Linked DNA regions of Drosophila melanogaster. The protein of the gene in region 2 interacts with the protein of the main gene of each other region in a pairwise test. Each region holds a gene or a part of one and is shown on either strand. Other genes may lie near its edges.

Evidence for each region.
Region 1: the proteins of metro (region 2) and CG13965 interact in a two-hybrid assay, tested with the Drosophila melanogaster proteins (one large-scale study listed by BioGRID).

Annotation. Positions count from the first base shown.
Region 1 is NT_033779.5:19,961,214-19,964,439, forward strand, and holds CG13965 (uncharacterized protein), read right to left. Parts: upstream 1,140-3,226; 5' UTR 1,086-1,139; coding exon 1,062-1,085; intron 1,002-1,061; coding exon 624-1,001; 3' UTR 545-623; downstream 1-544. Other genes in the region: CG42866 (uncharacterized protein), read right to left, coding at 226-366, 426-449; CG16772 (uncharacterized protein), read left to right, coding at 1,512-1,541, 1,613-2,518; CG10680 (uncharacterized protein), read left to right, coding at 3,018-3,068, 3,126-3,152, 3,213-3,226.
Region 2 is NT_033778.4:11,230,900-11,234,654, reverse strand, and holds the start of metro (menage a trois), read left to right. Parts: upstream 1-2,138; 5' UTR 2,139-2,501; intron 2,502-3,755. Other genes in the region: CG13228 (uncharacterized protein), read right to left, coding at 245-652; CG13218 (uncharacterized protein), read left to right, coding at 951-1,391.

The DNA.
Region 1 (3,226 bases), on a different chromosome or scaffold from region 2:
CTCCTCATTTGAAATGTATATCGCTTGGATAGCAACAATTAATGCGATTCAATTTATTATTTACACATTCGAACAGTGGAAATGTTCAATTAAGCAGTGATCCATTGATATGATGAACAAGGCTTCCGCTTCCCATTGTCTGGCGAGATCCGAGGCATTATGGCCCTGTGAACGACTTTGCAACGGGCCATAAGTAATCGCGTGCAATCCCAACCTTGTCGGACATCAGATGGAGTTACGTTGTTTATGGTGGTGCCTCACACGTGCTGGCCAGTTTTTCCAGCGCTTTTCCTTCTCGATGTTGTGGTATCCATCGTGGCCCACGACATGTCTGGGCACTACTAGCTCCAGGGACAAAAAGAGGCACTGATGTGAAAATATAATATATACGATAAAAATGTTACTATTTCTTTATCTCTACTTACCAAGCAGAAAAAAATCAACCGCATTGGGAAACAATAGACTGGCGACTAATTCAATTCGTCATCTGTGAAGTTCTTGGTAAAACCACATAGGGTGTTCCCGAATTTCGACGGAATATATTAAAATTATTTAGTTTTTTATTCAATAATCTTCAGAGATTGGTCACAAAACGAAAGGGTATAATGGGATATACATATGAGCTAGGGACGTGGCGTGGTAAAGGCATCGTTCCAGCTTGCCCAATGCTTCTCCGTCTTCAGGCTGTGGAAGCCATCATGTGCTCTAACGTGTCGAGGTCCCTTTATATGGCTTCCTGGCTTCACAAATGGATCTCCTCCATTTTCAGGGTCAGGCGAGCCGTTCGGGTCTGGGTTGTCCGTGCTATTAACCATATCGGTGCTATTTGTTGGTGATTCTGTGACCTCCGACCCCGCTTCTGTGGTCTGAGTTAATTCTCCGATGGAACTGGCTTCTGTAACTGGAGACGTTTCGCCATCTGTTGGGGACGCTGGAGATGATTCAGCCGCAGGGGTTTCCTGAGCCTCGAGCGCGGCTACCAAGAATATAGCGATTCCAATCTAGAACAAAGAAACGTTCGATTATGTGCAATAATGAGGGAATGCCCCATTGGCACTCACCAGCTTCAGTTCAAGTTTCGCCATGCCTATCGTCACACCTGACACATAGTATGTGTACCTATACTGCGTCGAAACCAGAAGCGCCGACTGGGCAAAGCCACCTTTTATAGTCGCTGCGCAGGTGGAATCGATTGGAGCAGTTCTAAATTGATTGCGGGAATCGCTGCCTGGTTCTGCGGGCAGAACTAATTCTCTTAGTGACCAACTGATAGATGGCGATCTTTAATTTGCGAACGCAGTCCGGGAAATTCCGGCAGACGCATCCAACACCTGATGCCAATCGGGTTTTTCGAGAGAGATAGAGAGCTGATTGCTCTGGGGCTGTCTGTAATTGTTGGCTTACCGATTTCCATAATGGTGGGCGATTCTGGAGCTATATAAGTCAGCTATGGCCGGCAGAGAACAATCAGTTTTCGCTTGGCCCTTGCTAGTTGAACTCAGTCGGTTGGGATGTTCATCAAGTTGCTTCTAATTAGCCAGGTTGGTGCCAGATCTTGGCCAGGACAAAATGGCTCGAACTATGATTAACTTAACATACATTTTAATTCTAGCTGCTGGCGCTGAGTTACGCTCAGTTGTCGCTCGACGAGGCTAAAAAGCAAATCGATGCCTCGCTTTACAGCGAAGAGGAGACTACCGATGATACGCATCTGCCGGAGCCCCACCTGCCCCCCCAATATCAGCCTCATCATCCCCACAAGAAGGTGACCACCACCACTCCCGAGCCGGAAACCACAACTCCAAAGCCAGAAACCACCACGAAGCCCGCAATAGAGCAGGAGGGTGAGGCCACCGCTGCTCCCGATGACGGACTGGGTCAACTGGATGATGGCTTGCAACAAAACAATGATGGATCTGCGCTTCCAGAGTCCACCACTCCGGAACCGGAAACCACGACCCCTACGACGACCACCACCACAACGCCAAAGCCCCATAAGCATGAGCCCCACTTTCATCCCCATTCTTATCCGCATCCTCACCCCTATCCCTACCCCATTCAGTATCCCTACCCCCATCCAGGAGTGATATTCTCTGCCGCGGGACCTAAGCTTACTCCTCCATCGACCACACCGCCCACTGCCAAAGATGCGGACAAGGAATCGCCGGAGCTGTCTGGATATCCCTCCTATCCGACCTTCAGATCACCGTACTCGCCCTACCAACCCCAGGTGTTCCCTCAGCCTCGTAACTGGCCCAGCTTCCCAGGATACGGACCTCCCAGTCCCGGTTTCGGATACCCCCACAACCACAATCACGATCACGAAGAAGACTCCGGCGAAGATAAGCCCAAGGACAAGTCTGGTGAAAAGGATAAGGACGAGGATGTGGCTCTGAAGCCACCAGGATTTAGCTACCCGCAGGTCTATTTGATTCCCCGAAGACCAGTGATCTCTGTGCCCAGCTTTCCGCGTCCAGGAGGCGGATATGGTTCGCCCTACGGCTACGGACTCTACTAACACTCTCCGATAAATACTGTGAAAAATCTCCGAGTCCAGATAGTCAATAATATCTTAGTTTTATTTCAATCTTGAAATGTACTTCCTAACACAATAAACAACTTTTAGATTATATTTTCATGAGTTTTTAATATTTGCATATAATATTTAATGCTTTCGATCGTGTAAATCTGAGTACAAGGTTCTTCACTGAATGTGGGACTGCTTGGAGTTTTCTTTCGGTGCATTAAGAACTAGTAAGTAAGTTAAAGGCTCCTAGATTCGGGAAAATGATAATTGATGATTTGCGCATATGAGATTGAGTTATGGGCTTCTGATTTCCCTATCGTGTAATCCCCAGGCTGATAACCCCGGGCCCCGACGCTCTCACCTTGGTGATTTCCAGTCGAACGGGTTGGGATCGTGGTTGCATTTAATTGCAGCGCATTCCACCCAGTCAACTCATAGTTCTGTCGATCGTCGGAAGTTCGAGACGTGAGTGTCAGTCGAGATCTGCGAGATGTTGCCGCTCCAATTCGTTTTGCTGGGCTGTCTGTTCATCGCTCAGGGGGTAACTATTCATCGGTTTGTTCCACAATTTAGGCTTCAATGAGTTCTATATTTTCAGATATGCCACACTCTGCCGGATCCCAAGGTAAGTTTGCTAGCAAACAATTTAGATAGTATCTTCTTTGCAATATTCCATAATCCACAGCTAAGGGTGCCTCG
Region 2 (3,755 bases):
AAAAGCCCATCCGCCTCGCCTCGCGCGATATTCGACATACATATGTACATATATATATGGAAGCAAATAGCAGCGAGAGACTCTTCCAGAAATAACAGCCAGTTAACTACGGAATATGCAAGCTCATCGACTTTGTCGATTCCAAACACTCGGCAAAATGAAACTCGATCTTGCAGTACTTTTTTGTTTATCCATTGTTTACACTAGAGGGTCTCAAGAAACGCTCAGATTTATTCGGAAACGTCTAGCCAAAGAAACCGCCTTTGAATTTGGCAAAACCCACAGCGCCGCCAACGAATCCGCCGCCTCCGATGCCACCTAGTCCGCCCAATCCTCCTCCAACGGGATAGCCACCGCCATATCCGTAGCCATAGCTGGGTATCGTCTGTATGACGGGAACAGTGGTGATGATGGGCACAGTGGACACAACGGGAACTGTTTGGATAGCGGGGGCTGCCACTATGGGGGCAGCAACTCCTCCGCCTCCGATGATGCCGCCGCCCACGATACCGCCTCCAACGACTCCGCCACCTCCAAATCCACCAATGTGACGGGGTCTTCTAATGTTCTCCTCGTCGACGCTGGAGAGGATCGGTGTGGTGCTGACCACGGCGCACGCCAAGACGAGCAGGTAGACAGTTTGCCACAACATGATGGGGTTAACTGTTTGGTCTGCCCCACTCCCAGCTGCTTATTTATGCAAATTAATTAGTGGCCACTGTTTGCACTTCCAATTTGCATATTGGGGCGCCCGGGTAAAAAACCCATAACTCTAAGGCCCCATCTATGTTTTGGCGGTTCTATTGGGGGAATCATGGTTTTGCCCACTGGTAAGGTGGTTCACACCTCATCATCGTCATCGTTTGTGGTCTGAAGGTCGCCGGCCTGGGCATTAAAAGCCAGGTGATTTAGTTAAGGTAACTCACATCGTTATTGGACACTCAGCCGAGATGAGGTGCGATCTTCAAGTGCATTTTTTGTTATTACTGGCAATTGGCGCTTGGCGGACTGAAGCCCATTCCCTGGGAGGAGGTGGAATCGGAGCGGTTGGAGGAGTGGCAGCCATTGGCGGAGTTGGTGGCATCGGAGGAGTCCAGCAGGTTCCCGTTGTGCAACAAGTGCCCGTTGTCCAACAGGTTCCCGTCGTGCAACAGGTGCCCCTCATCCAACAGCAGCCGCAAGCTCTTGGCCTAGCAGGTGGAGGTGGATTCATTGGTGGCGGAATCGGAGGTGGTGCCGGTTTTGGACGCTACAAGGAAAGCTATCGCGTGCGAGCGAGGGGATTCGGTGGTGGATACCGCGCCCGGTACGACAAAAAATTTGGAGGAGGATTCGCCGGACTTGGTGCTGCTGGAGGAGCGGGCTTAGCTGGTGGCGGTCTGCTGGGATAAATACAAGCATGCTATGTAGTTTAATAACCAATTATAATAAATTGTATTAGTACCATTAATATGTTTATTTTTAACAATGAGACTTTGTTTATAACTAAAGCAGACGCACTTTCTTAAGGATAAGTATTTACAAGCTAATTAATAACAATCAATTCATATGCCGAATTATGGTAACATAATCCTGAGAACTTGCTCCTGAACACCCTGTATTTCTTCCGCTCTGCATTTCTGCTGACCTGCGCAGATTCCACCCCCAGCAAAAGTCCAATTGGCGCTCTGTGCTCTCCCACTTTATGATTTCCCACTCTCTGGTGGTGCATTTCGTCCCATTCATTTCCGTTGTTCTTCTACTTACTCAATATATCACGAGCACGCTCTAAATTTCTTTTACTCTTGTTTTGACTTGTAAAGAGAGTGGTACAGTGGTTTACATTACAGTACATTTTTTCAAAATACAATAAGTTACAATGGATATGCTTTCGAAAAGAATTTTTTTTGAAATATACATATGTGTTTAAAAATATAGATTATTATTATCATTTTGATTTGTATCTGCAAAATGTTACATTTAAATATTAAATAAAGAAAGCTTGTTTACTAAAATCCACAATACTATAAGTTATCAAAGTTTTCCATAACAAATAGTATGCGGATTTAGTTCTAAGAGTAAGTGTTAAGAGTACCAAGTTTGGCGCTCTTTAAAGAGCTGGACAGATTCGCGAGATGGCAGTTCCCTCGACGTGGAAATGAATTCCTGAAATTAAACGTTGTTCTTTGCCCGTCGTGTGCAGTCGCTCTCGCTCCCGTTATTCGCCGTTCTGGGATTCCCGCTGGCGGACTCTGGTGGCCATCACCTTGATAATCCTTATTGTGAAATATGTGAAGTGCTGCAAAGAGTCTAAGGATATCCTGATATATTAACGGTTAACTAAACTAGTGCGCAATATTAGAGGCCTAAAAATAGCGAAAATAGCAGACATGCCGTGTTTTTGTGCCTCTGTGTGTGCGTGAGTGTCTGCGAGTGAAGTGGAAATTTAAAAATAAAACAACGCTGGGACTCAACCGAAATCCGTCTGTATCGTATTGGCCAACTGCCCAGAAAAACTCCAGGTGATAAGCTCCATTCGAATTATTGTTCGTTTTCTTCTTTTTGGCCAGATTTTGTTGTTAATTGAATGCTCGGGGGAAAACTTTTAACACTCTCTCAGCTGTCAGTCTCTCTCTCTCTCTCTCAGCGATTTCAATGTCTTTATGACTTTCTCTTAAGCCACCGCTATTTTCAGTATGACCAGATTATCTCTTTCGTTCGGACTTAAGGAACACAGTGCAATTACTTGAAGTTTTCAATTACCCTAAATAGAAGGAGAGATTGGGGGGCGTTGAAGTCCTGGCACCTGCCTTATCTACTCGCCATAAGGACTGTCTCTTATGCCGCCCCATGCCACCCACTTTCGCAATTGACGAACCCCGGGCAACGTCATTATTCCGCTTTTCGCCAGACCTCTTGGCCCCTCTCGGCTTTTCTCAGTGTAATTAGTGTGATTGGGGCCAGTCTTGACTCGCTTTCTTGGCTTCTGCTTGCCATTTGGCTGATTGACAGCAGTAATAGTGGCAAATGCAACAAGCCCCCACAGGGAATTGCCTTGAAAGTACGGAAAGCTGTCCAAAATAATACCTTTACCAAGTTAAAAGTTGTACACCTAGCTGTAACATCATTCGTAGAAAGCAAATTCTGAACCAGATTCTACATATGTTGAGAATGGAGACTAGAGAGACTAGCTAACTAGAGATTCCTTGAACAATACAAAATGGTGTGTTTGTATTTTCTCAATTTCTCAAAAATCTGCACAAATTGTAAAACAGCGCTTCCTAAAACAACCCATTTGTTTTTACAAGTAAATTGTAATTGATGTGAGAAGGTAGTGCTTGTACACGATGGTGGTAGTTTAGACAACGGTTGATATCCTGTGGTTTAAACTTACCACCCTCTGGAATAAAATAACCTCAAATGGCGCTGCATCCCTCGGATCCCACGCACTGACGTCGCTGCAACTGAAACCCTGAAAATTGAAATTTTAGCTCGTGCTTCTGCTGGGTGGCTGTGTGTGCCGACGAGTATGTAGTTCAAGGTCGTTGGCCAACTTTCGGAAAGTGTCGGAGGGCCAAGATGTGCGTTTTTCTCATTACCATATAGGGAAACAGAAGCGCGAGAGGCCGTGGCAAGTTGAAGGACACGCGAGTGCCACACTTGAGACGCTATTCTTGGGCTCCAGAGGCGTCCATTCAGTTGACACTAATCACCACCCACGTACCACAAAGCGTGACACTAATGAGCACCGGTCATGCAATAGGGCAGCGTGTTGG